Linked DNA regions of Diceros bicornis minor. The protein of the gene in region 1 interacts with the protein of each later gene in a pairwise test. Links are inferred from orthologs where the notes say so. Each region holds a gene or a part of one and is shown in the gene's direction. Other genes may lie near its edges.

The links. The genes of interacting proteins can lie anywhere in the genome.
Region 2: the proteins of HOXA1 (region 1) and FAM221A interact in binary tests that used the Homo sapiens proteins (3 or more experiments, as listed by UniProt). The link is inferred for Diceros bicornis minor from reciprocal best matches to the Homo sapiens genes HOXA1 and FAM221A.
Region 3: the proteins of HOXA1 (region 1) and CHIC2 interact in binary tests that used the Homo sapiens proteins (3 or more experiments, as listed by UniProt). The two-hybrid records come from large-scale screens. The link is inferred for Diceros bicornis minor from reciprocal best matches to the Homo sapiens genes HOXA1 and CHIC2.

Annotation. Positions count from the first base shown.
Region 1 is NC_080742.1:51,927,737-51,938,552, reverse strand, and holds HOXA1 (homeobox protein Hox-A1), read left to right. Parts: upstream 1-6,391; 5' UTR 6,392-6,682; coding exon 6,683-7,334; intron 7,335-7,814; coding exon 7,815-8,170; 3' UTR 8,171-9,349; downstream 9,350-10,816. Other genes in the region: HOXA2 (homeobox protein Hox-A2), read left to right, coding at 178-556, 1,199-1,938. UniProt on the Homo sapiens protein: Sequence-specific transcription factor. Regulates multiple developmental processes including brainstem, inner and outer ear, abducens nerve and cardiovascular development and morphogenesis as well as cognition and behavior.
Region 2 is NC_080742.1:48,953,342-48,964,369, forward strand, and holds the start of FAM221A (protein FAM221A), read left to right. Parts: upstream 1-5,623; 5' UTR 5,624-5,631; coding exon 5,632-5,696; intron 5,697-8,311; coding exon 8,312-8,485; intron 8,486-11,028.
Region 3 is NC_080747.1:42,071,221-42,082,103, reverse strand, and holds the start of CHIC2 (cysteine-rich hydrophobic domain-containing protein 2), read left to right. Parts: upstream 1-5,478; 5' UTR 5,479-5,794; coding exon 5,795-5,913; intron 5,914-10,883.

The DNA of each region.
Region 1 (10,816 bases):
TAGTAGCGCGGTCCCCATACGGCTGTAATCAGTGAATTAGAAAAAAAACACCCCAGCAGCGATCTTCTATGATAGATTTTTTTTTCCTCTGCGCTCTCCTTTTTCCTGGGCCTTGCCCCCCCAAAGCCCCTCCAGAAGAGGGAACTTTTTCTCCGAGGGGGCTCCAAGGAGAAGGCCATGAATTACGAATTTGAGCGAGAGATTGGTTTTATCAATAGCCAGCCGTCGCTCGCTGAGTGCCTGACATCTTTTCCCCCTGTCGCTGATACATTTCAAAGTTCATCAATCAAGACCTCGACGCTTTCACACTCGACACTGATTCCTCCTCCTTTTGAGCAGACCATTCCCAGCCTGAACCCGGGCAGTCACCCTCGCCACGGCGCTGGCGGCCGCCCCAAGCCGAGCCCCGCGGGCAGCCGCGGCAGCCCAGTGCCCGCTGGCGCCCTGCAGCCGCCCGAGTACCCCTGGATGAAGGAGAAGAAAGCGGCCAAGAAAACCGCGCTGCCGCCCGCCTCGGCCGCCGCCGCCACCGGCCCTGCCTGCCTCAGCCACAAAGGTCAGTCCAAAGACTTGGCCCCAGGTCCTCGGGACCCTCTTCCCCCTCTGGGCTGCCCCAAGAGCCGTTATGGGGGGAGGGAAGCGTGGGCTGAGAGAGAAGAGGGAGAGGGAGAGGTGCTTGGCTGCCTTCCCTTCCCCTGTGGGCTCAGGAGTGGGTTTGATGGAGAGAAAGGGATCCTGCGCTCCACAATGAGACATATATATATTTTTAAGAAGGGGGGGGGGACTTTCCCTAACTTGTGTAATGTGGGATGATTTATTTGAGTTGGAACTGACCTCCTCTTGTCTAGTTGTCTTAGAGTTTGGCTTTTTGACAGTAATGAAGAGTGATAGATCGCTCTTGCTCAGCTAAGCAGCTGATGCATTAATTATAAATTGTGGTGTGGCTAATATAAAGTTTGCTTCCGGATGGAGAGGTTGGGGGAAGCTAAAGGCAGGAATTTGATGGAGGTGGAAGAGATGGGGTCTCCCCGGGCTGGGCTCCCAGGAAAGGCAGCACAATAGCTCTACTGCATCCAGGGGCGGCCATTTTGTTGCAGTTGATCTTTTCTGCTATATTTATTCTCCAGTGGAATAACCCCGCTCGGACCCCTCCACCTCCAACTGTGCGTGTGTCTCTTGTTGGTTTCCCTTTCCGCAGAATCCCTGGAAATCGCCGATGGCAGCGGCGGGGGCTCCCGGCGCCTGAGAACTGCTTACACCAACACTCAGCTTTTAGAGCTGGAAAAAGAATTTCATTTCAACAAGTACCTTTGCAGACCCCGAAGGGTGGAAATTGCAGCTTTGCTGGATTTGACTGAGAGACAAGTGAAAGTGTGGTTTCAGAACCGGAGGATGAAGCACAAGAGGCAGACGCAGTGCAAGGAGAACCAAAACAGCGACGGGAAATTTAAAAGCCTGGAAGACTCTGAGAAAGTGGAGGAGGATGAGGAAGAGAAGTCGCTCTTTGAGCAAGCCCTCAGCGTCTCCGGGGCCCTTCTGGAGAGAGAAGGTTACACTTTTCAGCAAAATGCCCTCTCTCAGCAGCAGGCTCCCAATGGACACAATGGCGACTCCCAGAGTTTCCCAGTTTCGCCTTTAACTAGCAATGAGAAAAATCTGAAACATTTTCAGCACCAGTCACCCACTGTTCCTAACTGCTTGTCAACAATGGGCCAGAACTGTGGCTCTGGCCTAAACAATGACAGTCCCGAGGCCCTCGAGGTCCCCTCTTTGCAGGACTTTAACGTTTTCTCCACAGATTCCTGCCTGCAGCTTTCAGATGCAGTCTCGCCCAGTTTGCCAGGTTCCCTCGACAGTCCTGTAGATATTTCAGCTGACAGCTTTGACTTTTTTACAGACACACTCACCACAATTGACTTGCAGCATCTGAATTACTAAAAACATTAAAGCAAAACAAAGCATCACAAAACAAAAACCCCTTTGACCAGGTGGTTTTGCCTTCTTTTATTCTGAGAGTTGATTTTTCTTTTATTTTCTTCCCAGCCTACCCTCTCCCTCCTTTAAATGTTGACGATTTTCTGTTTAGTGATTCCCCTGACCCAGTTTCAGAGCCATCTTTTACAGATTATTTTGGAGTTTTAGTTGTTTTAAATCTCATCCAACAACCCTCTATGTGATTTCCTGAAAGCAATATATGAGGCCTGCAAGAAAGTGATCATATAATTGTATCTTCACTTTCTTTTTATTTTTGTATTACATTAGGATGCATTGTCATGCGTATTTTTTGGTAGAATAAATTCTCCTTTGCTATAAGTAGCTTTCTTATTTTTTTCTCCCCCTCTTTCTCAAGGCTCATAATGTTTTCTTTTTCTTCGTTTAGTCTAACTTGGTAAATAAAATTCTGGTCACGATTCATCTTTTTCAATTTTAATATATTTATTAAAGGAGCATGTTTAAAGTCATCAATAAATAGCAACAAAAAAGAAAGCCAGAAAATGGTTAGGGCTTCTGAGAAATGTTTTGCATTTTTTTTTAAGGGAATGGATTTGGTTTTTTAGTGTAGAGGTTCAAGCCATAGATTTAAACTGGTAATAGAAACAGGACTGGGCAGCCTCCGAGTTGGGCCAAGCCCAAGCTTCTGAAAGTGGAGAAATAAAGTGCCTACAGAAACCCCCAATTCCAGGTTGGAGGAACATGGAGTTTCTTTAACAAGCTACCAGTCTCCAGTCAATAACATAATAAGTTATCAACAATTCATTTATTTATACACATTTGTTTCAAACATCTATATTCCAACCCCCTCCCCCACATATCCCGCACATTTTCAGTGTGGTGGATTAGTCTCCCAGCTGTTGATGGGTCCAGGCAAACAGACCTAAAAGAGAAAAACAAAAATAAAACAAAACAATGGTTACTAGCTGGAAAATACATTTCAGAAAGGGTTCTTTCCAATTCTCTGGTTCAGTCATTCTAGGATTCGTTTTTTCAGGGTCATAAAATCAATATTTCATTCTTAAATCTGTTTACATGGCAAATAATGGATCATGAAAGCTTTGAAGTCAAGTTAGTAAGTTGAGATTTCAAATGGAGTGTTTCTGCACCCTAGGTTATAAATTAATCCAGTTTCTAGAAAGAGAAAGAGAAAAAGCACTTTAAATGAAATATCAATAAAATGTGATCTAGGGTATGTTACTGGGTTGTTCTGTTTTTTTTTTTCTCCCTTCTAAGTCTCCCCATGTTTATTTTTCTCCGTACTGAGCTGTTCTGATGGCTCCTTACTTACCGTGAGAAAACGCAGCGTGTAAGCAACATGTGTGGGGGCGGGTTGATTTAAGAACCCGGCTCTTAATAGCAAAGGCTTGGAAGTTACAAGGAAATCGCGGTCTTTCTCCGTGGGTTTGCTCCCTACCTTTCCCCACCTCTTTGCCCCCTAAATCCCCGCAGCGGCGGAGGCATGTGAGGACCCCGGCAGGTCTCCTGCCCTAAGCGCTGAGCGAAGCAGGGCGGCCCGGCCGCGGCCGGGGCTGAGCCGCTGCCGTTTGCGATTCGTCCTACGCTCATAAATCAAACGCTTTCCATGAATGAGAATGTCATCAAAGAGATCAATTGCAGGAACACATGCACAAATAAAAATCCTCTTACGTATTTGCCGGGGATCCCCGTCCGAAAGCATTAAGTTAGAAGGCGTTTAGTCATAATTCATTTTTATTGCTCTTTTAAAACAACAGCTTGGCTGAGCCGCGGATGCCATGAACAGCTCCGGGCCTCGGCGGCGTTTTGTCTCCTCCTCGCTCCTTCCCTTTCTAGTAGAATAGCCCTGAAAGAGGCGCTTTGAGCCCAGCAAGCCGCTTGCAGGCGATCATTTAAATAGGGACCAAGCTCGCCTATTCACCCACTCTCCGGTGGCGTTTAAAGACACTTCAGCTCGAGTCGTGGGGCCCCGGCCTACTTGTCCACAGGACCAAGGGTCTCCTACGCGGGGGAATGAGCCCCTGGATTTCGTGGGGGTGGGGAAGGAATCGAGGTACGGAAGCCTGCGGGCTCGAGGCCAGAGGAGGCTGCCTTTGTGAGCGGCACCGGGAAAGCAGCGCTCTGGGCGGCCAGCCGGGGCGGAGCCGGCTCAGCCGCGAGAGCCCGGCCTGCAGGGAGCGGGAGGCAGTGCTGGGAGGCGGGTCGGTCGCCGACCCGTGTGTCTGCGGGCCTGTGTGCGACTGCAAGCTTGTGATCTCAAGAAAAACAGCCCACCCACCCTGGCCCAGAAAAGAGGCCTGGAGGGAGGAAGAGAGGTGGAGGGAGAGGCGCGCAGAGGCCGAGAACTAGCAGAGGAAGGAGAGCGGTGGAGGCCCGGGGCGGCTTTGTGGCGTGAGCCCTGTGGCCGAGGGGGTCGCGCAAACCTGGGCCGAGGAGGCCAACAAAAGGACAGGAATGAGGCAAGCGGGGAAGAACGTACCGACAAGCTTCGGCTCGGAGAGCATATTGTCCGCAGTGCCAGCCCCTCACGTCCTGCCTCCTCCCCCACAGGAGCGCCTTCTCTCCCCGTCGCTAGAGGACTGGCTCTCCCAAGGAAGCCGCCTCCAGGAGGGCTGCCTTGCCTTGCCTTTTCCCTTCTCTAAGATGAGGTTCCCCAGGTGCAGAAATTGGGGCAGGAGTGACCTTTCCCGCCTCTGCTCCCTCTTAACCAAGATTGGGGATGGGTCAAAGGTCACAGGAAAATACCATTTCAAAAGGAAATGTTTAGGGAGAATGTTTCTCTGCTACTGAGGGAATCCATAGTCAAATGTTTGCAAGAGTTTGTCAGCAAATGTCCCTCTTGCGGGGACAGGTTTGGGGGGAACTTCTCTATGTGGAGAACAGAACGCAGAATCCTGAAAAGTTGACTAACATTAAGGATGTGCCTGCCTCAAGCAAAACTTCCTTCTTCTAACTGGGGAGGGAAAACTAGAGGGGAGTGGGAACCCCAAATCCACATACAATCCTCAGGTACATTTCATCTGTCAGATTCCCATGGGGTAAACATGGTCAGAGAAAAATCTATACAGCCTTAGCTGCAAAGCTTCTTGGATGATCTCTGCATTTCTTTTACCTAAGAATGCATCAATTCTCGGCCTCTGTTTGGCCTTTTCTCTCTACAAGCCAAGGGTTGACACGAAACCTAATAGTAAACAGCAATTAACGACCCCATCAGCATCAGGGTAGGATGAGAGTGATGGAAAACAGGACCCCTGGCCTGGGATGACGCTGAGATTTGCACGTGTCTCTCTGGGGAAAGACTTGAAGGTTCACTCAAGCAACTACACAGTCGGTTACAAAGGGGAGGAGGTGGTGTTGGGGGAGAAGAAAACGTCCGGTTCACCATCAGCCATCTGTCTACCGCCCCTCCCACCTGCCAGCCCCCACTCCCACTTCAGACGTGCAGTAGAATGGGGTGTGGATGGATAAAGGAAGCTCTACCACTCCTAATATCCTCCCCCAGAAAAGGCGAAACGTTGCGGGGGAGTTCAGCGTACTTTGTTGGAGCTGTGGTCTCACCCCTTGAGGCCCCCACCGGAGCAGCGCTCAGGCTCCTGGATCCTGGGGAGCCGGCAGATGGCCTGCAGCGCACGGCCCGGCCCCCACGCTGGCCACGTCCGCTAGCGTCATCTCTCTCCCCCGCCTCCTACCCCTCAAAATCCAGTGTCCGAGTATCTCCAGATCTCGTAGGGCTCCCGGACCAAAGCTGAGTGGGGAGGAGAAAGGGGCGGAGAGCGAGGAGAGAGGGAGGGCAAAGAGCCGGGCCACCCGCGGCCTTTTCCGGCAAGCGTAGCTCCTAGGGCTCACCCGTTCCCGGGCGTCGAATTACAGAAACTCCTTATTGCCATGTTAATAGCCAGTGTGTGTGCGTCGGAGTGGGGGGAGCTTCGGAGACCCTCCGCGGAGAAGGGAAGTTTCTTTTCTTGCCCTCGTCCCCTCCACGCCCACCCAGGTTCCTCCCAGCCAGCTCTCTGCGCACTTCCCTCTCCGTTCAGAGGTTGGAGAGCTGGTGGCCCAGCCTCGTGCGCTCCTCACTGCCCCACGGCACCACAGCAGGAACTGTGCAGTGAAAGCGCCCGGGGACCTGCCCTTCCAGCTCGGCGCGCCTCCGGGCTCAGCCTGTGTGCTGGAGGCCGCCAAGCGAGCTCCGGCCCACTGATTCCCGACCCAAGAGAGAACGGAGCCCTCTTGTCTTCTCACCTCTTGCCAGTTCATCTTTCTTTGCATGGTGGGGAGGGAGGCGGAGACGGGGGATGCCTCCAGGCCCCCACCTCCTGGAGGTGGGGGGGGCGAGCGGCGTCGGCGCGCGCAGAAGGCAGCCTCTGTTCCCCTTCACCCCAGCGCTCCGAATCTGCCCTTGCAGCCACCGCAGCTGCTGCCGCCGCCTGGGCTGCCTGGGGGGGCGACTGCGCGTCACCCAGACTGAGGAGCGCCGGGGATTTAAATGCCACTGAAACGGTGATCCATCACCGCGCGAGCCAGCAAACTTTCGCAGGAGGCTCCGCCATTGGTTTATTTAGTCACGTGCCCCTCCCCAAGCGCCCTCCGCCCTCCCGCCCCCCCTCTGGCGCACTGTACATTCATATCATTTTTCTTCTCCGGCCCCATGGAGGAAGTGAGAAAGTTGGCACGGTCAACCAGGGCTTCACAGGACCCGGTCACTCAGTGACAGATGGACAATGCAAGAATGAGCTCCTTCCTGGAATACCCCATCCTCAGCGGTGGCGACTCGGGGACCTGCTCAGCGCGAGCCTACCCCTCCGACCATGGAATTACAACTTTCCAGTCGTGTGCAGTCAGTGCCAACAGCTGTGGCGGCGACGACCGCTTCCTAGTGGGCAGGGGGGTGCAGATCAGCCCGCCCCACCACCACCATCACCACCACCATCACCACCCCCAGCCGGCCACCTACCAGACTCCCGGGAACCTGGGGGTGTCGTACTCCCACTCGAGTTGTGGTCCAAGCTACGGCGCGCAGAACTTCGGCGCGCCTTACAGCCCCTACCCGTTAAATCAGGAAGCAGAAGTAAGTGGTGGGTACCCCTCGTGCGCTCCCGCTGTTTACTCTGGAAATCTCTCATCTCCCATGGTCCAGCATCACCACCACCACCAGGGTTATGCCGGGGGCGCGGTGGGCTCGCCTCAGTATATTCACCACTCATATGGACAAGAGCATCAGAGCTTGGCCCTGGCCACGTATAATAACTCCTTGTCCCCTCTCCACGCCAGCCACCAAGAAGCCTGTCGCTCCCCTGCATCAGAGACGTCTTCTCCAGCGCAGACCTTTGACTGGATGAAAGTCAAAAGAAACCCTCCCAAAACAGGTCAGTCTTGCCATTCTGTGGATGCTTCTTGATGATTCTGGAAGGAGCTGGTATGCTTAGTTTCCAAGTAAAATTAATAACGGCTTTTTTTAAAAAAGTTCTTGCTTCCTACCGGTGTTGTAGGGCATGGGCACATTGCCCAGGTGTGTTGGGGCAAAGGAGCATCTGGGACTGTTGTGTTTCCAAAGAGGCTGACTTTTAGAGGTTCTGGGAGTAGGAAGTGGGTAGGTCTGTGTGTGTGTGTGGGGGGGGGGGTTCTGTTAATATCTCCAGGCTCCATTAATCACCGGTCTGACCACGCTAATGGCTGACTTCAGATTAACACTTTACACCTCATCACTCACTCTCCCCAGCCCGGTTTGTGGAGAAATTCTTGATCTCGCCTTTACCTGAATGTTGCTCTGAAGAGTGTAGGGGATTTCATATCGATTGTAAAAATTTTATCTTTTTCTCTTTCATCACTTCCCACCCTGCCCCCAGGGAAAGTTGGAGAGTACGGCTACGTCGGTCAACCCAACGCGGTGCGCACCAACTTCACCACGAAGCAGCTCACGGAGCTGGAGAAGGAGTTCCACTTCAACAAGTACCTGACGCGCGCCCGCAGGGTGGAGATTGCCGCGTCCCTACAGCTTAATGAGACCCAAGTGAAGATCTGGTTCCAGAACCGCCGAATGAAGCAGAAGAAACGAGAGAAGGAGGGCCTCTTGCCCATCTCTCCGGCCACCCCGCCGGGAAGCGAGGAGAAGGCCGAGGAATCCTCAGAGAAGTCCAGCTCCTCGCCCTGCGTTCCTTCCCCAGCGTCTTCTACCTCAGACACTCTGACTACCTCCCACTGAGGCCGCCCCCAGCCCCAGACTCCACAGCCCAGGCTACTCCTCCGGCTGCGACTTCTTACCCAAAGCACATTCTTAGCTTATCTTCCTTTCCATTTACAGCCTCTCTCTTCCTTTCTGATCCTATCTGGGGAGCTCCTGGCTAGAATAATGTGTTTCCAGAGAATTCTAGACTAAAGGTTCAATTGGTGGTGGTGGTGATGGTGGGGCGTTAACTCCTTAATGCAGATTGGGTGCCAGCATCAATTTTCTGGTGGTCCTTAATACCCCTCCCTACTTTTGGGAGATTTCCACAGAACTTACTGTTCCTTTCAGATGCCCTTTGGAAAATAGTCTTCTTTGCCAGCAGAAACATGTCAGAGGAAGGCCTCTCATCTTTTATCTATCTGTATATTTACAGTTCTCCCCTACTTTGCCCTTAAAGTAGGATGGAGAGAGAGGAGAGATTCCAGGAGCTCACGAAGAAGAGATGCACTATGATCATGTTTACACAATTAATTCATCTCTTAATTTAATTGTTTCATGTGTGTGAGTTTGCTGGTTGTAAATACTTTGTCCTGAGAGATTTATCTTTATACAGATTTTCTAGAAACGTTTAGATTAAGCAACTAAAACAGGGTGGGGCAAACTCTCAAAGCTGGTACAATTTTAGATGTGATTATAGGTTAAACAATTAAAGCCCTCATTTAAACTCAATCAGATGCCTCCGAGGATAGTCTCAATTTCTTCTTTCAGTGAGTTCAGAAGGCCTGCAGAACACAAGGTTCAGAAACCTTGCTTCCTGTGCTGTCTCTCTTCATCCCCACCCTTTCTGGTTTCTCTGGCCACACTCTATTTAAAATTTGTGCTGGATTATTGGGAACCTAAAAGTATTCTTCAAATCAGCTTCTTCCTTCCACAGTTATCTTAGCTGGATATGATTTATTTTCAGCTCAGTTGTTAATGTGATGGATGGCACAATGAATGTATATTTTGTGTGATTCGTGAATAGTCTTTTGCATGTCGCACAATGTTTTGATGTCCCTAAAGTACCACACTGAGTTCTATCAGTTATTCTTTGTGAGTCTATGATATTCCCCATTTCCTGTACAATCATGAACAGCTCTGAGATCCTGGAGTGATGTGATCCAGAGCAGAGTTTACGGGTCTTAAGATGTCTGTAATAAATATATTCAAGTTTCAGATATGTTTAAGCATCTGTTTGGCTTAGTTATAATCTGTTGGTTCCTACAAAGTTGGTTCATTTCATGCAGGGAAGGGGATAAAAGTGGTGTGCATTTTCAAAGAGGTGGGCCTTTTCTTGAAAAAAGTAAATGCTTTCCATTATGTAGCTGAAGCTTCTCCTAAAGAGTGTAATTGCACCTAACCGAAGTCTATTTAACAGATTGATTTTCTTTAAAATAAATAGTTCCTTTATTATAATCAAAATTCATAATGGAAAAAATGAGTGATAAAGAAATTTATGAAGCAGATCTATTTTTGAAACAAACATGGATACTTCCTGGGTCAAGTGCTAACCTTTTGACCTCCAACTGAATGTTGACGTATATATAAACAGAACCCCCTTCAAAAGCTGAAACTCTTCAGTCAGTCTTTCCTCACATCAGTGAACCAAGAGCTAAGAGATTCACATTTAATTAGCTCCAGTATAAAGCTGTTTGAGGATGGGTCCCCCACCCCACCCTTCTTCCTTCTTTTTGGATTGCCAGAGAGTGTTCCAATATATTCCACTCTTTTAAACTGAGTGTAGTCTGTTTTCAGTAAACCTTTGCATCTCTCCTCCCATTCCTCTGGTCAGTATCCACCCCTTCCTGCCACTTTCCACAGCTCCCCCCTCCACCCCTCTGGGTTACACATCTCATTCCCATCAGATTCAGCTTTGATTTCACAGTCGTCATGGCTGTAATGGATCCGCAGTTCCAATTCCATGCCACATAACCCAGAAAAAAAAGTTTGTATTTTCTTCTCTGGGCTCAACAGGTTCCTCCAGGTAAACTTGTGGAAGCTGCCGTGAAGTCTTTCAATATTCAAGTTGCTTCCGATTAAGGCATGTCTCTGCTCTCAAACAGAGGAAGCCAGCAAATCAAAGAGTTCAAAGTGGCTCTCCTTGTAGACTTCTTACCACTTTTCCTTTACTTTCACACTTTTTTGGAGGCTTTAATTTAGCCCCAAGAGTAGAGCAGAGATTTTACAGCATCACAAACAAAAACAGACATATGATTCCTTCCTCTCCAAAGGGTGTTTTACAAAGGATGTGCAGGGGGCCAGGGGAGAAATCCTACAAAAACTTGGAATTTGCAGGCCTCCTAGAACACCCATGAGATTTCCTGTACTTCCCTGTCAAAGGGGGCAAGCCCGGACTTTTCAGGCACAGTTACTGCGGCCATATCAAGGGCATCGGGTGCTCTCTCCTCTGCTCCTGGGTTCTGGGGTTGCCTCTAAAAGACCAAGTGGATGGGGGAGAACTTCAAAGTCAGCCAACTCTTTCTTTCATTTCCCCGCCAGGCCTTACACAGTATCTTTTGTTTATTAGTGTAAGGCCATACAGCAAAACAGATGGCCGGTTTCCAAATACTTTAATGTGTTAAAATGTCATTTGCATGCCACTGCCCTGATTTCAATATCTAAAAGCAGGGCCCGACCAGCTGG
Region 2 (11,028 bases), about 3.0 Mb from region 1:
TTGTTTATGCAAAAAATTTAGAATAATTTGCAGTTAATTTAAAATTAATGAGTAATTTTAGTAATGCCTCAGGATACAAAATCATTACATAAAAGCCAACTGCATTGTTAATTCACTGGCAACAAACAGAAAATCTGATGTTAAAGGATAATATTTGGAATAGGATCAGAAATACATAATACTAGGAATAAATCTGAAAAACTCTATGCAAAATTTTTCAGGGAAATTAGAAAACTTTATTAAAGAAATTACAGAAAACCTAAATAAATGTAAGTATATGTATAAAACAAACTCTTGGATTGGAAGACTAAAAACCTCAGAGATAACAATTAATCCTAAATTGATCTATGGACTCAATACTATCCCAATTGAAGTTTCAATATATATATTTTTGGTAGGATTTGACAAGCCAATTCTAAAATTTATATGGAAGTATGACAAGCCCAAATTAGTTAAGACAATTGTGTTTTTTGGTGAGGAAGATTGTCGCTAAGCTAACACATCTGTGCCATTCTTCCTTTGTTTTGTATGTGGGACACTGCCACAGCATGGGTTGATGAGCGGTGTGCATGTCCGCGCCTGGGATCCGAACCTGTGAACCCCAGGCCGCTGAAGAGGAGCATGCAAACTTAACCTCTATGCCACCAGGCCGGCCCCAAGACAATCCTGAAGAAGCTTTGTAGCGCTTAGACTACCACATATTAGTACTTATTTTGAAGCTGCAATAATACAGGATGATTTTGGTAAAGTATAGATAAATAGATCATGAAACATAATAAGCAGTCTATAACGAAATCCATTCTTATTTGGACACTTGATGTATCACTGGAACAAAGAAAATTTTCAATAAATCATGCTGGAAAATTGGGAAAACAGTGAAATTAGGTCTTTAACTTTATACCACACACAAAAGTCAATTCTAGGTGAATTGACATTCCAAATGTAAACCTTTTAGAAAACGATATAGAAGACAATATTTACGACCTTTGGTTAGGGAATGATTTCTGAAATAGGACACAAAAAGCACAAACCAAAAACAAAAAGATGGATAAATTTGACAACATTAAATAATTTTTGTTCATTTATGCTACCACCTGGAGAAGATATTTATAGCATATATATCCAACAAAAGATTATATACAGAATATGTAAAGAACTCCTACAAACCAATGTAAGAAACAATCAAAAATAGGAGAAATTTGTAAACAGGCATTTCATGGAAAAGAAAATAGAAATGCTTAATAAAAGTAAAGAGGTGCTCAATGTCATTAATTATCAGGGAGATACAAATTAAAACAACAATGTTGGCAAACATGAAAACAAGTCTGACAATTTTATAACTCCTCTTTTTTTCCCTAGATTTATTTATTTATTTATTTTTGTGTGAGGAAGATCAGCCCTGAGCTAACATCCATGCCAATCCTCCTCTTTCTGCTGAGGAAGACTGGCCCTGAGCTAACATCCTTGCCGATATTCCTCCACTGTATGTGGGACGCCGCCACAGCATGGCCTGACAAGTGGTGCGTCGGTGTGCGCCTGGGATCCGAACCCGGGCAGCCAGCAGTGGAGTGCTCGCACTTAACTGCTACGTCATGGGACCGGTCCCAAGTCTGACAATTTTAAATGTTGGTGAGGACATGGAGCAATCTGAAATTTTTTTTTTTTTTTGGTGAGGAAGATTGGCCCTGAGCTAACATCTGTGCCAATCTTCCTCTTTTTGCTTGAGGCAGATCGTCCCCAAGCTAACATCTGTGCCAATCTTCCTCTATTTTGTACGTGGGATGCCACCACAGCACGGCTTGATGAGTGGTGAGCAGGTCGGTGCCCAGGATCCGAACCTGTGAACCCCAGGCCGCTGAAGCGGAGCGTGAGAACATAACCACTATGCCACCATGCTGGCCCCCGATCTTAATGTTTTTATACTGCTGCTGGGAGCACAATCATTTGGAAAACAATTTGACATTATCTAGAAAGTAGAACATGCACATATCATATGACTGAGCAATTCTACACCTATATACATACCCTAGAAGAGTCTCCAGACCAGCAGCATATGCATTAGAAATAAAAATTCTCAGCTCACTCCAGACTTTCTAAATCAGAAAATCTGAGGACGGGGTCAACAATCTGTTTTAACAAGCCCGTCTGATGACTTTAATGTACACTAAAGTTTGAGAATGATTGTCCTAGAGAAACTTTTTTTAAGACATATTTTTCTATAGCTTTATTGAGGTATATAAAATCGTTTTAAGTGTGCCCTGGAGAAACACTTGCACCATTCATAATGGCAATGTTTATAATAACAAAAAACTGGAAATGACCCAAATGTCCATTATAGTAGAAAAGATAAGTAAATTTTATATGATTGCTTGACTACTATTCAGAAATGAAGAAGGATGATCTAATACTGACACCAACATTGATGAATCGCAAAAACACAAAGATGATTTCAACAGTAATTTTCAGAAGAACAAATCTTATGAAGTCCAAAAGCATGCAAAATTAAACATAGGACGTAGGGATAAATCTTCTATTAAAAAGAAGGGAAAGATTAGCAAAAAATATTAGTATTGGTCTATTTCTTAAGATGGATGGTGACTACTCAGCTGTTCATTTTATTATTAAAAAACTAAACTGTGCATATATATTATATATGTGCTTTTGCATATATAACATGAGTTCAAATAAAAATAAGAAAAATTGATTTTGTCTAAACAGGTGTTTGTCTGTGGTCACTCATACAAACTGCTGATCAAAAGGAAGAAAAACACTTGAAGTCTAAATTTTTGAGGAAACTATATTGCATCTCAAGACTGCCTGGAAAAGCTCATGATTCTTCAATGCTTACCATCCCCCGGATCCTGCATTTGCACCAATAGGGAGTAGATTGTGAAAGTTGTACATTTCCCCCAGAAAAGACTTTTTCCTCAATGCCCACATCAGATGCTGCCAGGTGGCTTTGGAATAAACACATTTTCCAAAGAAGTACACCAGGAGCTAGGAGGGGATGGATAGGGGAGCTCCTTCCAGAGAACAGAATCTGAGGCTGCCTGATGTGATTGGTTGTGCGAGGAACTTTCTCCACTGTTGGAACTTGGAGTCATTACTGTTCCTGCCCAGCAGAATTTGGTATGTGCCATAGACTAGTGTCTTCTGGGTATTTCCCATTCTCCCCTTTTTTGAGTTAGAGTTTTTATTTTAATTATCCTATTCTATCCTCATCACTGTACTATTGGGTATTGGGTAGGGGTTGGTTGGGGGGAGCAAACAACTTTCTTGTGTTGTAGTTCTCAACTGCCAAACCATTAAGAGTTAATGACTGATAGAGAAGACTGCAGGTTACAGACGTCAAGCTGGGTACAGCAGCTGACTGAGACTTTAGGATTGCCTTCCTTAGGGGTTTGATGAATGCATTCAATGTAAAGTGTCTTTATGGGAAGAAAGGTGTGCAAGCGTATTAAGCAGTTCAAGAGGTGAGTTGTGGCAGACCCTACGGATTGACCAACCAGACACACATTTCTAACCCTCTCCTTGACCACCTCTATCACAGAGCCTGGAAAACCTAAGTATTGTACTTGCTTTCCTAGCTTCCTTCATACAACTAGGATGGCCATGTGACATAGTTCTGGCCAGTGATACATAAGTGAAAATCTTTCGGGAGAGGGGCTTCTAGGAAAACTCTTACTTGACAAAAGGAACAGCTGATGTTGGTTACTCCCCTTCTTCCTTCCTTGATTTGGATATGATTTCTAGAGCTCTTCCAACCATGGAGAAAACGCCCTGAATCAATGCCAGCAACTGTCTATCCCTCCACTTCTTTAAAGTAACAAAAACCTTATGTTTAATTAAGCCACTGTTAACTGGATTACTCTGTTATTTGCAGAAGATAGCATTCCTAACTTATACATCACTGCAAAATGCTGGTAATACCTATCTCATTTTACGAAGACTACATATGTAAAATACCTAACACCTGCCTAGGCAAATTTCAAGTTCTTCTGTCTATCCTACTTCCTAGATCAATGTAGCTACCTTTTGGAGGAAATTATAGTCCCATTATACTTTTTTATTAAAGCAGAAGTCAAAACCATATACAATATTCTGATTAGCAAAGGTGTCAGTTTTATACAAGGTTAGAATAACATTTTCTATTTGTTCCATAGTCTTATTTGTCATGCCTAATATTTTTGTTGACTTCTTTGGTCAGAAGAGTTTACTACTTCAGCATCTTCCTGGAAGAGTCCACAATTACACTAAGCCTATTTTAATTATTTCCCTCTAGATTTATTAAATTGTACTTGCCTACATAAATACTCCCCTGCCACTTTTCTATAAGCTCGCATAGCTTAGCACTTGCTGCTATTTATATTTGTTAGTCTAGCTGCTGCCTAAAAGCTGGGCTAGGTGCTCATAAAGAGAAAACTGGTAGCCGCAGCCCACAAGATGTGACTGGGGAGACTACTGAGTGGGGCTCCTTCCCCTAAAATAACCCCATTTCAGGATCACTCCTTTATCTGCGTGTTGACAGCTTTTTAACCTTAAAACGTTCCTATAAAATGCAAATATGTCTGGGAAGCTTCAAACTTTATTGGCTAAGGTTGAGTTACAAGATAACACTTTGGCGGAGAGTAATTAACAAAAAGCAGCGAGGACGTCAAAGTGGGGATGGGAACAGGCTGAGAGGAGGACCGACTTTAGAGGGGAAAAAAGGGCACTCACTGAAAAGGGAGGTAGGAGGGGCACCTAAACAATTTGTCTACATAATATTTTGCTTTTTGGACCTGAAATATTCAGGAAAGTACTTTTGAAATAAAGTATTGTAGTTCAATGAATTATTTTCCTTATTGTTTGCCGATTCTCCCTCCCAGATAATTTACAGAGGGCGCTCAAGCCGATCTCTAGGGAGCCTCCGCGTTTCCTGAGTAACGATGATCCAGGTTGCTAAACCAAATTATGGACAAATCGCCAATCGCACGGTAATTCAACTATAAAAAGATTTTGTGGATAATATTTCCAAAGGTTTAAAAAAAATCTTAACTAAATCGTTTCTATTTGTTTCTGCTTAAACCCGCTATTCACTTCCTTTGAAGAACATGTTGCTTCAGTGACACCCAAACTGGACCCAGACATCCAGGACTGTTGATTTTACGTTACACTTTTGTAAACGCCAATTTTGAAGACATTGTCGGCGATTATGGGGAGGTGGGCCTCAAACTATCCAGAACCTTCTCAAAACCGGCGAAAAGCACTGTACAAAGAAATAAGCCATGTTTTGTGCGTCCATTATATGCGAAGTATTGCACTCCTTTGTGACTTGTTACTTTACAAAGACACCTGCCAGACCAGGGAAGGGAAGCGTCAGAGGCAGGGTTTGGGGAGGGCGGTAAACAGCGCCCCCTGTCGGGCGGGGCTGTGCTGGGAGACAGCGGGTTTCTCGCGCCCCGCGTGGGCGGCCAGGCGGCAGCGCGCGCGCCCCGCGCCGGCACGGCGGTCTTGGGGCCGGGCCAATCCGGAGGCGGCCGGGAGGGGGCGCGGCCGCCGGGCGGGGCCCGCTCTGGCTCCTCCGCCGTCGGCTCGCGCGCAGGGCGGGCTCCGGGCGCGCGGCGCCGGCATCGCTCTTCCCCGCCGGCCATGGAGCGACTGACGTTGCCTCCCGGCGGCGCGGCGGCGGTGGACGAGTACCTGGAGTACCGGAGGTGAGGCGGCGGCTCCGCGGGGCGGGCGGGCCGGGAGGAGCGCAGGGGGCGCGGTCAGGGGCCCGCCGGGGCTCCCCGAATCCTTTCCCGGGCTGTTGGGAGAGGCTTACAGTGATTTCAAGTTTCGTCTTTCTGTAATTAAATATTTTAATGACACGCTGTTCTATTCTAATAAGTCTCTCCTGAGGCTAAGAGGTCTTCCTCTCCGACCGCTTCCCAGGAGGATTATTAACTCTAGCTTTATGCAAAGGTCCAATTGTTTTTTCTAAATGTCTGTCCAAGAATTACATATTGAATACGCGGGGCCTATAAAAGTTAGCAGATGGTAGTTGAGTTTGCATGGTAGTTTAGTAATAGGATAAGTCGTGAAATTCCAAACATGCTCCCAACCCCGAAGTGCTGGTTTTAGGAGAAAGCACGGACTGGTGTAGTTTCCGTGGTTCTGGAGAAACTCCTTTGCAGAAACTAGAAAAGCAGCTGCCTCTTTGGCTTGAGGACACGGCTCACTGCCCCGGGCCCTGACAAAGGCTGATGCACCTGCAGCGACCTGTTCTTTTTAAGGTCTCTCAAGAAAGCTTTTGACAGTTGGAAAACTGGGTGAGTGGGAATTTACTGGAGAGGGACAAGCAGGAGGATACTGGGGGGTGGGGCGGGGTTAATGTGTGTGTATAAAGGGGAATTGAGACAATCACAGCCCTGCCTGGGAAACCTGAGTGAGAGAGGCTGCTTGCCTGAAAGGTAGTCACCCCAGATCACCCAGGAGTTCCCTTGTTGACTGCACTCCCTCTGACTGTGTCGGTGGTATAGTTTTGGGTAACGCTTAAAAATGCGTGGTAATTCTGAGCCAGAAAAGTGAGGGTGAAGAGCTTGGTGGGTCAGGCCTCATCCCGGGTTCAGGTGGGTCCGGATAACTCCAGGAGTCCTGTGGTCAGAACAGCTTCCACCCAGCCCTCACCCAAGGCAGAGATGGCCCCTTGAGTCTCCCGGGCTTTTCCCTAGGAGCAAGTTGCTGGGCTCTGATGTTGACTGATAACTTAGATATTTAGACGTTTAGATATGTGGATTGTGGGCATCCAGCTGTAGTCTCTTGCCTGGCCCAGAAAATGTTAGGGCCTGATGGGAAATTATTTTTGCAAACATAAATAACCTGGAACAATTTGCTATAAACATTAGAGCCTTGCTACTCAAAGTGTAGCCATCATGGACCAGCGGTGTAGGCATCACCTGGGAGCTTGTTAGAAATGCAGACTCTCAGGCCCACTCCAGACCTATTAATCTGAATCTGCATTTGAACTAGATCCCTTGGGGATTCTGTAACTACAGTATCTTTTGAACTACATTGGTTTAGAATTTAAATACAAATGATCTCTTTAAAGGTCCGCATTGATCTTAAAGTCTTTCTAGTGCCTGTCGGTATACTTTTTGGTAGCTATAATAAAGCAAAATGGCTTAAAACTTTATCTCAGAATAAAATTCTCTTTGTTTTTTCACACTTGTATATCTAAATTATTTAAGGAAGAAAGTTGTGATGATTTCATGGCTTCTGAATTGGTTTTATTTATCCGCCTCAGCTAAAGGCTTGAAAATATGGAAAAAGGTATGGATTGCACAAAAAATTATATAGCATTCTGCAAACAACACTTTTCATGATTTTTAAAGGGGGATATTTTCACGGAGAAGTTTCTTCAATTTTGAACAAATTCTTTTAATTGTGCTTCCTTTTTCTCCAGGGAAACCAACTCTTAATTTATTAAGAAATTAAGAAATAATGGTGAATTAATTTTTCCCATAAAATTTTGAGGTCTTGCTTCTGGGATTAAACAATGATGCACCTGATTGCTCAACACACATGTGGGTTTGAGCTTGTTCAGATCCAAGGGTGTTTGTGGGTCCTGCATTAGTTTAAACTCCTAGACAGGGTTTAGAGTTGAGTACGGACATTAGTCATGTTGTCTTCTCTGGTGATGTTTTTTGTACTATTTTTAAAGGAGGAAAATGTTAAAATTTTTAGCAGTTGAGGTTCCAGCTTTTAATGAGAACAATGAGCATGTTTGCTTCAGAAATAAAGGAGAAATTGGGATGCATGTGTGGTAATTCTCCAGTGGTAAACTGTGATCATTCAAGTCAGATGTTATAAATTCATTGACTTTCTTGTTTATAATTTTCTTCTATATGGGAAGCAAAAGCTTTATTACCATTGTATGTAATTTTGCTATTAACTGAGCCTAAAGTAAAAAAAACTCAAAGCTGAAGCAGCCTTTCCTTTGACTATACAAGTATAGTTTTTTTTTTGTGAGGAAGATTAGCCCTGAGCTAACAGCCGATGCCAATCCTCCTATTTTTCCTGAGGAAGATTGGCCCGGGGCTAACATCTGTGCCCATCTTCCTCTATTTTATATGGGATGCCACCACAGCATGGCTTGAGAAGCAGCACATCGGTGTGTGCCCGGGATTTGAACCTGCGAACCCCGTGCCACCAAAGCAGAGCATGCGCACTTAACCGCTATGCCACCAGGCTGGCCCCATATACAAGTATAGTTTAATTTTAGAGTTTAGTATTTTTAACCTGGAAAATAAATAATTAGGGCTTAAGAGAAGTATTTTTTTCCTTCTAGAATTGTCGGTGAGGATGATGGAGGGAAACTTTTTACTCCTGAAGAATATGAAGAATATAAAAGAAAAGTTTTACCTATGCGCTTACAGAACAGATTATTCGTGAGCTGGCGATCACCAACTGGAATGGACTGTAAACTTGTGGGGCCAGAGACACTCTGTTTTTGTACACATAGGTAAGATCTTTATTCCTAAGTTTTCTGGCGATTAGAAATTATAAAACTGTAGCAGAGCTTATCTTCCTTCTATAAATAACATTATTTGTGATAACTGAGAAACATTTAAAAATAGGCCTTTATATAATATCCTGGAAATAATCTAAAGGTTTTTTTTGCTATAATTAAAAAATTTCTATTATATTCTTTTAGAACTCATTATGGAGTCCATCACCTTAAGCATCTCTTCTCTTGCCATTGGTAAGAAAGATATGGCGCCCCTGTGGCTTTGCTGGGGGTCTTTTGGTTAGGCTGGGAGTGGAGTCTACCTCTCCCACCGCTGGACAGATAGCAGAGGACTGCAGAGTTGCTTCAGTGACCTACACTGAACAGGTTACCAATTTACAAGTAGAAGGATTTCTCCTCAAATTTACTAATCTCCCTTTATACTTTAAGAAATGTGTTGTGTCGATACCTTTCTTTAAACAAACAAAAATACAAGCACACAGCTTTTTATTACAAATGGTCCTTTTCCGGGGAAAGCACATGGAAGAAAGGAATACACGAGGCTTCAGTCGTTGACGTGTGTTGCCTGTACCTGAGGGTTGCATTTGGTTATGTGTCATGTTCTACTTAAAATTATTCTATTGTCACAGGTCACAGTTGTAAAGCTCAAAGGGACAAAGCTGCTTCACGGAAAAATCACTGAACCTATAATGTATTTTTAGTTAACAACTTTAACTTTTCCAAAGGAACCACGGAGGGAGAACTGCCCTGTTGTAATAGTTTCTGGGGCTCTTTGATGAGAGACTCTTTGTATAGTTGCTGTTTACAGACTTGCAGTTTGCCAAAGGTTGTTAGGCAGTTGCTAGGATGAGTAATGTTGTATATAGATTGACTTGAGACTTACATAGCAACCCCAAGGAAAATACTGTGGAGGAATGGAGGATGAGGTTTGCGTTGATATCTTTCCAAACTGCAGAGGAGTTTGGTAGATTGTGTTAGTTTTATCATTTATTCTTGTACAAATTTAGTGCCAGTCTCTAATCTATGTATAATTATACAGCATGGAATTAACCTTCAAAATGGACTCAACCCAACTTCGATGGAAAAGTTTTCTTTAGTACTAGTCACTCAGTGAGATCTCTGCCTAAACTATTTTTTTTCCCTATTATAAAAGCAAAACATGGTTATTAAGGAAAATGAGGAATATACAGAAGAGTAGAAAAAAGACTCACCGCCGAAAGCCAGCTGCTGTTCATACATTTTGCTATATTCATGAAATTTTTTCCTTATGTCGTTCATTTAGTTGTTGTCAAATATGTGTGTGTATAAATATTGAACTAATTTTTCATGACAGAATCACAGAAATACGTTTCCACGTTGTTATGTAGTAATCGCAAACAAGATTTTTAATACCTGCTCGGTGTTTCAGCTAGTCCAGTGGTGTTCACTGTGTGTTGTCGAGCGGTGAGGGCGTCTCAGGGTGCACCAGGTGGAAGGGCAGGTTAGGGGAAGGACAGAGTCCAATTCTGGCTCTTTGCCTTGCTTTAACCAATTCTGCTTTTATCGGTTTTATACATTACGGTTCTGTAGAAGATTTTATTTGAAGAAAGGTTTCATTGCTAAAAAGTTTGAAAATTGTTGTCTAGTAACTCACCTGTCCATTCCCTTATTATTAGGATGTTGTGTATGTATATGTATAATGTATGTATATAGATATTTTTGCTATTTTAAATACTGTTGCTAATACTATCTTTATGCACAAAGCTCTTTTTATACATGGAATTATTTTCTTAGGGTATATTTTGCTAAAAATGAACTGTCTAGGTTAAAGGATGGATCTTTTTAAGTTTCCTAAAACATGATTTTTTGAGATTGGTTCTTTTGTAACACTCTTGACAGCACTGTGAATTATGTATAGTTTAAAAATCTTTGGCTCTTCTTGCGGTATCTCATTGTTATTTTAAATTCTATTACCTAAATTAATATTGATAATAATACATTTAATATTATTTTACTGAGTATCACCTTGTGAGAAGAAGGCCTATTTAAGAAAATTACTTAAACAGTGTTTTAATGTAGAGCTTTGTCTTTTAAAAATGTTGATAATTTATTTTGAAGTTAAAAATTAAATTATATTAAAATGAATTATATTAATATATATTTTTAGAAATTCAGTTTATTTTGATTACATTTAATTTTTTTAATTCATTCATGCAATAAGCCTTTTTTAAATTGAGGTAACACTGATTTATAACACTGTATAAATTTCAGGTGTACATCTTTATCTTTTGCCTTCTGTATAGACTACATTGTGTTCCCCACCAAAAGTCTAGTTGCCATCTGTCACCATACACATGTGCCCCTTTACCCCTTTCACCCTCCCTTTACCTCCACTTCCCCCCTGGTAACCACCAATCTGTTCTCTGTATCTGTGTGTTTCATTTGTTTATCTTCCACATATGAGTGAAATCATGTGGTATTTGGCTTTCTCCATCTGACTTATTTCATTTAGCATAATACCCTCAGAGTCCATCCATGTTATCACAAATGGCAAGATT
Region 3 (10,883 bases), on another chromosome or scaffold:
CTGGAGATGCTGCTCATGGCTGGAAGATGCTGCTCATGGCTAGAGATGCTTCTCATGGCTGGAAGATGGGGATCATGGCTGACACCAAGTATTTTTTCTCCTGAAGCCATGTTTCCTAATACTACATCTACCCTGTCCAAATAAATTAGATTCAAAACATCAAAAATCATATATTATTCTTGTTATTGTCTATATCACTCTTTTTAGATTTAATAAAGATAGAGTAATAAGAAGAAAAATAGCTAACATATTCTGTGTGATTACCAGGTTCCAGGCACTGTATTCTAGATTCCATCCTATTTGCCTTTTTCAGAAATCATGTGCTAGATATGATCCCTCCTTCAACTAATTTCTTAGGTTGGCCATTCCTGTAACACAAGTTTGGTGTAAATTTAGACATGGCAGTCAAGCAGGGCACAGGCCTGGGGCTTTTATTTTTCACTAGAGACTTGTATTTCTCCAACACAGAATTCCAAGAGAAATATTTTCCACATTGCTTCTTTGGGCCAATGGGCAGAGTTTTTCTGGTTTCTTTCTTGCAGCCCTTCCTGGTTGGATGCTGTGGTCCTGCCTTGAACCTACCCATAGCCAAGTCTCCTGTCACAGCATGGGTATTAAAACTCCTGCCTTTTTTATGGCTGAGTAGTATTCCATTATATATATAAGGGATATATATATCCCTTGGTCCTGCTTTCCTCAGTGTTGTCATCATTCTCAGGCAGTTTCTACAACTGCAAGAGCAGCATGGCTCCTAGCAGATTCATAGAAAAAGAGATTTTTCCCACCTTCCCAATAGTTCTATTAAAAGCCCTGGTATCGAATCTCATTGGCTCTGTGTGAATCATGTATCCATTCAAACCAATCCCTGGCCCCAGGGTACCCCATGCTCTCTGATTTGCCAGCCCTAGGTCACATGCCCACTCTTGGAATTGGGGATGTGGTCAGCTTAACCCAATCATATGTACTGATAGTGGGAGAGATATGACTTACCACAAGGAAGGAGGGGATATGTACTGTTTTCAGAGGAAGTAGGGGATACATGCTGGGTAGGTTGATCTACTGGACTCACCCATTTGGAGATTTTAAAATGCACCTGCCTGGCTTCACATCCTCAGTGTATCTCCTTTACTTTTAGGATGAACTTCAGATTCCTTACCAAGACCTTCATGTTTCTACCAACCTCTTTGCCCCCATCCCAGTTGGGCTCTGCCTTCTTTGCTGTGGTCCAGCCACACCGGCTCTAGTTTGTATCTGATTTGGGTTGTGCTCTTTTCTGCCTCAGGGTCTTTAAACATTACTATAGACTGAATGTTTGTGTTCTCCTAAAATTCATATGTTGAAATCTTAACCCCCAATGTGATGGTATTAGGAGATGGGGTGTTTAATAGATGATTGGGTCATGAGGGCAGAGAAATAAATTTCTGTTGTTTATAAGCCACCTAGTCTATGGCACTCTGTTATAGCGGCCCAAACTAAGGCAAACATGCTGTTTCTGCTGCCTAGAACTTTCTCCTCTCTTCTATTTCCCCACCCTCATACTTTTGCTTAGCTCAACTTAAATGTCATTTCTCCAGAGAAGAATTCTTGATTTCTCAGAGTGAGTTAGATCTGTTAACTGATCTCATGGTCTCCCCTGTTCTTTTTATTTATTTATTTATTTAAATTTTACTTATTTATTTATTTTTCCCCCAAAGCCCCAGTAGGTAGTTGTATGTCATAGCTGCACATCCTTCTAATTACTGTATGTGGGACGCGGCCTTAGCCGGAGAAGCGGTGCGTCAGTGCACGCCCGGAATGCGAACCCCGGGCCACCAGCAGCGGAGCGCGAGCGCTCAACCGCTAAGCCACGGGGCCGGCCCATGGTCTCCCCTGCTCTTGTCCACAGGACTGATCACAATTCTAACAGTTACTGATTTTTATAATTATCTGTCAGCCCTCCCCAATGGACTTTATGCGCCATTAAGTCACGGACTGTGTTTTGTTTACTACCTTATTGCTAAACCCTAGTTCCTGGCACAGAGTATGGCACATGGGAATAATTTGATGCATATTTGTTTAACGAATGAATGAGTAAACAAATCAGGGTTTAAATGCTGTCTTAGTCAGCTTGGGCTGCCATAATGAAATACCATAGACTGAGTAATTCAACAACAGAAATTTATTTCTCACAGTTCTGGAGACTGGAAGTTCCAGATCAAAGTGCTGACTGGTTTGGTTCCTGGTGAGGGCCAGCTTCCTGGCTTGCAGGCGGCAGTCTTCTTTCTGCCTCACACCTTTCTGGGGGCGGGTGGTAGGGAAAGCAAGCTCTCTGGTCTCCTGTTATCAAGGCACTAATCTCATCCTGAGGACTCTATCCTCCTGACCTCATCTAAACCTAATTACATCCCAAAGGCCTTATCTCCAAATACCATCACATTGTGAGTTAGGGCTTCCACATATGAATTTTGGGGGGACACAATTCAGTCCATAGCACGTGCATTACCTCATTTGATCCTTGATAACCCCTTGACATAGGTTCCACTTCAGGATGAAGAAAAGGAAGCTTAGCAAGTTGAATCTGTCCAAGGCCACTCAGCTAGGTAGTGACAGAACTTGAAATTTTCAAACCTAGGAATATTTGCCTTAAAATGCAACTAAAGATTTTTTTGCCTCGTGAGGCCCCTGAGGCATTATCCTGTTTGGTTTTGAGCCATTTGGTCTGAAGGTAAATGTGCAAGTGTGTGAAGCAGGAACACAAAGGGGAACTGAGATGGAGAGGAGTCCGTACAGCAGATAGCAGGAGAGCACCTGGACACTGAGGGAAAAGATACTGAGAAGGGGCTTCATCCTCAGGAAGAGACCAGGGAAGTAGTCTGACAGGAAATTGGACCCTGAAGGGTTTGGAGTGAAGTTTGGGATTATGATGTCAACGATCATCAGGGAAAGATTTGACTCATCTTCCTTCACCCTCTCGGCCTTGTTCCCAAGTCCCACACCCTTTTGCTGGCTCTGACAGGTTTTCCAGAGCAAGAAAAAGAAGAGCAAAATAGGAAGGGCAAAAACAAGGCAGCCCCTACCTTCCACTGAGGCAGTGGGAGTTACAAAGTTCTCTCTGTTGAATAGGTCTTAGAATAAGAACATTTCTCCCACACAGAACCAGTGTTAAGATAAGGGTGAGGCTCTCACAGTCCTGGGAAGTCTAATTAACTCATGATGATCTGGAAATAGCACTAGAAACAATATATCTCAATTCAGATAACATTTATTGAGCTCTTTCTCTGGAGCAGGAACTGTGGAAAGTGCTAGAGATTTAAGGAGCTGTGTGTGACTTCCTCTGCCCTTAGGAAGATGTCAGCTATGTGATGATTTAGGTACTTTGGGGCACCAGCCCCTTATCTTGGTGACTGCTTCTACAGAAAGGTGAATTCTCAGTCACAGCACACAGGGTGTTGGCCATGCCCGGAACACACTGACCTCCCTTCCCCTTGTTCCCTTTTCTCATCCTCCCATTTGCAGCCACGCCTTCAGAGTGAAGCCTCTGGCCGCCTGGTTCCTGCCAAGAAGGAAATTCAGGAGCTTGGCCTACCCAGTGCGCTGGAGTTGAAGCCCTGAATTTGACTATTAAATAGCCATTTGGCCATGAGAAAGTCATAGCATCCCTGAAACTAAGGAACAAATTACATCCTCCTTGGTTACTTCACAGGGTTCTTGGGGAATATTAAATGAAATGTTATGTATGTACTTCATAAACAGTAAAGTGTTACATAATGCAAAAAATTGTGCTGATCCTCATAGAGTTGATTAGCTGGAGGGGGCCTTAGAGATCCCCTATCGCCATCCCATATTTACTGCATGCCAGGCCTTCTTCTAAGCACTTCACATCTATTAATCCTTTAATCTCAGAGCAGCCCAGTGGGGTAGATACTATTATGATCTCATTTTACACATGAGGAACAGAGAGGTTAAGTGACTTGGCCAGGGTCACACAGTAAGTGGCAGAGCTGAGATTCAAAGGCAGGCAGTTAGGCTCCAGAGCCCATTGTTAACCACCAAACCAAGCCACCTTCTGTGTGCTTCCTTAGCACCCTCTGTATACTCCCTCTGGGAGCACTTGACAGAATTACAATTGCTTGCCTTAGTGATAAAAAAGCTACTAGAAGGCAGGGATTGTATCTCATTCACACATACATACACATACACACCCCCCCCCACACCCTTGCACAGTGCCTGCCACACAGTTAGAGCTCAGTAAATATTTGTTGAATGAATAAATGTCCTCTGGAGAGATATACAGCAAGTCTGATACATCTACTGTGTTTTTCCTTCATCTTTTTCTTGGCTAACTATGCTCATTTCCCTCAACCATTTTCAATAGGAGATTGGCATTTCTCATTGTCCTCATTGTCCTGCATTGCACTTTCTCAACTTCAACAATGACCCAGCTAAAGTCAACTGCCAGGATGTAAACACTGTACTCGGAGAATAGTCTGACCAGCGGTGGGGCCTCTATGACTATCCTTTTCTGCCCTCACAGTGTATGCTCAATATTCAGGACTCTCTCAGGAGCCCACTCTTACCCCTGAACTATTTGAATGCCTGGACAGGTTCTTGACTATGAAACCAAGTACCCAAGGTGACCCTTAGGACTTTACTAGTGGTCTAGGCAGGTAAGGGGAATTCCTTCAACTCTTGCCGCCGCCCACGCCACAGCCCTCCCGTTCCCTTTCGTGGGAGGAGCTGTAAGAAAGCGAAAGAGATTCCTTAAGGTCTTAACGGAAGAAAACAGGTTATGGTCGATGAGAGAGTTGGGGCAGGAAACTGCATCTTCTAATGTGGAATCGAGAGAATTTGTCAATTTTGTTTCACGGTATGAATACAATTGAGTTTTCTTGTAAGAAAAAAGAAATCAGCGTCATTGGCCTCATATATTGGACTATATTTAATGAGATGATGGGACAAGATGTTTGAATTTGGACGTTTTGAAAAGTCCTGTATTATAGTGGACAAAAGTATCTGCGGTTTGCCTGTTGGGCTCCTCCAACTGGGAAAGTACAGACTCTCGTTCTCATCACAGACTGAAAAAACTGACGAAAAGCGAGATTCGGTTATTAGATAAACTGGCAATCACACGCACCATGAATTCTCCATTCCACCCAGGGTTTTTATTTTTAGTTGTTTGTTTTGGTTCGAGATTACTTTCGGGAACTAAGTGCCCCACCGGACAGTCCGAGCTCTGTTTTTGAGTCGGGGTCAACGCCTCCGGCCCGCAGAGCCACTCCCTTTGCGGGTAGGCGACCCATTTGCGGGAGGGCGGGGCCCGGCCGGCGGGAGCGCGCGCCCAAGGCGTCGTCGGGGGTGGGAGCGGAGGAAGGCAGGCGGCCTGGGAGCGCGCGAGGCCTCGCGTGCGCGCTCCCGCCCGCCAACCCGCGCGCCCACGCGCCCGCCTGCACTCCCGGGAAGTCTCGCGATGCCGTAGGCGGCTGCTCCCGCTGCGGGTAGCCCTGGCTGTTGCTGTGGTTGCCTGAGTTGCTGCTGCGGCGGCGACGGCGGCGGCGGTGGAGCTGGTGGAGGTGTCGGCCCTTGGGCGGATGTTGACATTGTGTTGTTGTTATTGCTGACGGTAATGGCGGCGGCGACGGCGACGGCCGGGACCCCATCTCCTCTGTAGCCTGAGCCGAGACGGCCAAGAGCGAACTCCGCGGCCTCCGAGCCCGCGGCAGCGACTCCCCTCAGCCTCCGCCGCCTCGCCAGCCCGAATCCCGGCCCCGGCTCCTGGAGGCAGGCCCCTTCGGGCAGGGGGCCTCGGAGGCTCAGGATGGCGGATTTCGACGAGATCTATGAGGAGGAGGAGGACGAGGAGCGGGCCCTGGAGGAGCAGCTGCTCAAGTACTCCCCGGACCCGGTGGTGGTCCGCGGCTCCGGTCACGTCACCGTGTAAGGCCCGGAGGAGGGCGAGGGCGAGGACGGGAGGTGCGGGGCTGGGGTGGGCCCCCTTACTCCTCGGGAGCCCTCTTCCCCGGTGTCTGCCTTGTGTCGGGGGCCTTCGGGAAGAGGAGGCGACCAGGAAGTGAGAACTTGCAGTATTTTTGTTTGTTTAGGTCTCCGAAGTGGAGACAGACGCTGCCCTTCCTCCCCTACACACCCCTCTTAGCAGGCCCTACAGGCCTGGGATGGTGACGGATCCCAGAAGAGAAGGTTTTTCTCTGGAGTCTGCCCTTCGGGCCACCCCTTCAGCTTCGGGGTGAAAGTACACGTAATGAGGTGCCTCCCCCTTGTGTTCTCATCCAGTTGCCCTGTGGTTCTCTCGTCTCGTCTGTGCCTTTGAGCCTGGTGACATATGGCTCAGAGGCCAGATCTGGGCCGTTAGAGACCCCAGTGACAATCGGTCATGGCTGGTTCATTGCCGTTCTGTCTGTTTCACACATACCCACAGGTCTTCCCAGTTTCCTGCAGAGTCAATTTCTGCGGAACTAATGCAAGTTCCTGTAATTGTGTATGATAAAAATGTGTAGATGAACATGTATTTAAGATATGCAGAACGATATATATTTTTAAAAAAATCTAGGTGATGGACACCCTCTGCTTGGGTTACTGGGGGTTGGGTTCTCTGTAATCTAAGTCCCTCCTTTGGGCATGAACTCTGGCATGGCTTCTTCATTTGATAAGGGTTCCTGTAAGTCCACTTAGCAACCTTTAAAAGTCGATATTATCCAAATAGGGAATGATAGCTTTCCGAAAGGTTATGACTAATAAAGGAATGTGAAGACTTGAACCAAATAATGAGCTGTCCGGAAGTAGGAAGTTTTGTAATGTTTCTCCGAGAAGTCGAGTTTTGTACAACTTGAAGTATTTATACTCTTTTTCATTTTAGAGCTCTTGTTCAAATCAAAGGGTCAAACCTCCATGCTTGTCAGATATCTCCACACTTCACCTTTTGGTTAAAATAAAAGGGCCAGCAAGTCTGAGACTGTTTGGAACAGTTTTCATTATATTTTTGGTATAGGGCGAGTGGGATGTGCGGTGAATAACTTTTAGTGAAACAGTAAGACTTCTCATATGAGATCCTATGTAAGATTGTCAGCAAAATTCTTGCATTGCCCAGTACATGATATGACCAGCCATATTGTTGTTTGGGTATCCTTATGTAATGCTTTGATTTTCTTAGCATCTGTTAGTTTATATTCAGGTGACTTAGGGTAAAAACACTGCATAATCACTGTCATAGTGCCATGAGAAGACAATGGAATTTATCACCACAATAACAGTTACTTAGTGTTTTAACTGTCATCACCAGCAGAATTAAGAAATATAACCAAATATCATGGATATTAAATCTTTCTTTAATATATATCACAGAACTTTTTTACTCTCATAGCCTGCCATTTAATTTTTAGTTTGGCGCTTAGGACGTTTTTACATTCTTTTAAACCTAAGGAGTATATGGGTGCTTAAAGAAGGGATTTTCAAAGTTTTTCATGTTATCTGCCCACCTTTCCCCCTACATTCCTCGTGTCAAAGAAAGCTGGCGAAGTTTTATTGTTTAGAAAGGTGCAGCTGTAGTTGTAATGTTTCCTCTGTTGAAGGAAAAGAAAAGCTAAGCGCTGTTGGGTAGATGGAAAATGTCGTAGGCGAAGTGCTCAGAACCAAATAGGTGATCAGTAAATTTGATTGTAGTTGGCTACTCAGAGAGGTTAACAGGATGGGTGAGAATTACAGGTTCTCAATCTTAGCTTCCTGTTAGAATCACCTGGGGAGCTTTAAAAAAAAACCAAAAAACAAAAACCCTGTCTTTGCCCCAGGCCAGGACAATTGAAGGCCAAGTATCTGAGTGAGTGTCCCTGGCATGGATGGTTTTTTAAAAAGTCCGACAAGTGATTCTGATGTGTAGCCAGGAGTGAAAACCACTATTCCAGAGTATAACGAGGAATGAGGAACTAGATGCTATCAGTAAACAGTATGCCTTTTTACATTGGGAGTTAATATTTCTGTGATCTCCTCAGCCACTTCCCTGTCTTCCATGTTACCTTGGTTCTAGGCTCTGGGTTCAAATCTATCCTCTGCCACTTTTTGGGTAAATTATCTATGTCTCTTTCAGTTAAGATGAAGATAGTATAGCACCTAACTTTTAAGGTTATTAAGGATTAAATGAGACAATACATTGCAAAGAATTCATCACATTGTGTGGTACTGTGTTCAATAAATATTAGCCTTTATTACTTTATTAATTATCCTCCACACCTGTAGTGTTCCACTTTGAGAAACATACATGTAAAGCAAAGTACTAAGAAATCTGAACTGCTGTATTCAAACCTAACAGTGATTCACTTTGGTCTTATTTTTTCATTTCTAAGCAATTTATATGAGGTTAAATTACTATGTGAAGTATTTTGGTGAGAATTAATAAGAATCTTTCTGCATTGAAAGCCTAAGCCTGTTTTGTGATGACATAGATAAGTATAGTAATCGTAATGTAAAACTTGACATGACTCGGTCATGCATAATTCACAGGCATACTATGCCAATGAGCAGTCCAGTTAGCACCTATAAAGGTTTTTGAAATTGGTGCTTATGGGTTACTGTAACTATTGAGCAGGTTCAGTTTTTCTTGCCTTTGAGTATAAATGAAGAGCTATTAAAACAGTTATAGTAAGACTGGTTAAGCTTATCACTGCTGCTGTCTGCACGCCTGCCACCCCCCCACCCCCCACTTTTTAAAACTAAGAGCTGTTCAGAGCAATCTTCTCTTACCAATTTGAAAGTAAATGATAGTGTAAACTGAATCATCTGTAATCCAGGTCGGTCTGAAAAGATGTAGATCTATCCATATGTGTTTTCACAGATTTCACTTTTGAGTAGACCTTTATAGTTGAATATTTCTACTCTTTTTTGTCCTTACTTTAGTATATTGTATTACAGTATTACTCTTATTTTATTTTAGAAATCACTGTATTCTCGTATGGCGTGATTTGGCATGTCATTATAGTGATGTGAGAAAGTAAGTTACCTTCCATTTTCTACTACACAGGCAGGTCTTGCTTAGTTTTGGGGCGTAATCAGATTTTGGGGACATAAGGATGCAAAATGTATAATTTGCATAAACAGTCTGCTTTAAGATGGTGTTTATTTTTTTATATATATATTTTTTTTTTGTGAGGAAGATCAGCCCTGAGCTAACATCCATGCCAATCCTCCTCTTTTTGCTGAGGAAGACGGGCCCTGAGCTAACATCTATTGCCATTCCTCCTCCTTTTTTTTTTTTTTTTTTTTTCCCTTTTTCTCCCCAAAGCCCCAGTAGATAGTTGTATGTCATAGTTGCATGTCCTTCTAGTTGCTGTATGTGGGACGCGGCCTCAGCATGGCCAGACAAGCGGTGCGTCGGTGCGCGCCCGGGATCCAAACCTGGGCCACCAGTAGCGGAGCGCACGCACTTAACTGCTAAGCCATGGGACCGGCCCCCTAAGATGGTGTTTAATACAAATATTTTCATATTGACCCCAAGTCAGGCTTACACTTCGTACTTTGAACATATCAGTATTCTTTCTTGACTTTCTTCTGGATGAGTATAATAATTTCCTTCATTGTTAGATGAAGGAAATACATTATTTCTATATGTTGCATATAGAAAATGTGGCACAGGGTGGCAGCCCCAACAGGGAGAAATCTTGTGCAGAAGCATATTTTGAGGAAAAGTGGTATTTGAAGGAAGAGAGGGAAATGATAAGTTCCTATTTTTGCATAATATTATGTACATGTGATTGAAAATGCTTTAGCTCACACTTGAATTAAAAGTAGATTTCCTGTTTGTGTGTGTGATTTCTCATTTTATTATGTAATGAAGATGAGGAAAAAAGTGGTTAATTTATTAGATAGTATTGGCCAGATTGGTTAATATTTTAAAATTAGGGAGTTCTTTACCTCTCAGAATAAATTTGTGCAAAATATAATGATCATTTGTTGAAGACTGATTTTTCACAGTGATGACAGCACTAACTGATGTGTTAATCTAAAAATTAGAATTTAAAACTAGTTTTAGGCCAGTACTTCCTAGCTAATCTATCATCATAACTGACATTATTTGCTCCTGTCTCTTACTTCATGCCTTTCTATATGAGAATCAAACTTGGGGCTTTCCTACGTCCTATAATCTTTGACTTCTAACTTAAGCTCTGTCATAGAGACAAGTTATTTTGTTGAGGTTTGTTTTTAATGTTATTCTCTTCTAATTTCACTAAATTATTGTGTCTTTGTGTACTCTCTTCTGAGGTATAATCTTCCTACTATCTCTTCAAATAATTCCTTATCCTTCAGCACCAGTTTTATCAGTGGCTGTGGAACATCACTCTCTTTGCTTGTCTTTGTCTCAGGTATGCTGTGGACAATTGCAAGACTTGCAAATGTGACTTGAAATGAAAAAATTTGGAAACTACTTTGGGGTACAATAGGATCTTTCTATAGGAGACATCACGAGAACACCTTAGTATTTATTGATCTTTCAAATGGTAGAGTAAATAAAAAATTATCTGTCTTGAAATGTATCAGTATTTCAAGACTGCTACTAGATGCTGTTACTAATAACAAGAGACCTGAACGTGATTTGCCCAAGTATCAAAAATACAATTAAACCTTTTTTTTTCAACTTCATAACTCCTAACACCTCCTCTCCCCTGACCAACATAATTTGTAAGGCATTTCCATTTTTAAAGATTAGCTTTTCTTTTGAGATTTTTGAAGACCTTATTGATATTTCTCCACAAGGCTGTAAAGTTCTTTGAGGACAGGGATTGTGCTTACTGGTCTTTATTTCTGCACTACTTAGTATAGTGTCTAGAATATTATAGGTCCTGAAGTGTTCTCTAAATAAGTGAGGTAATTGCATATATCTATGGATCTTGTCAGAATTGCCA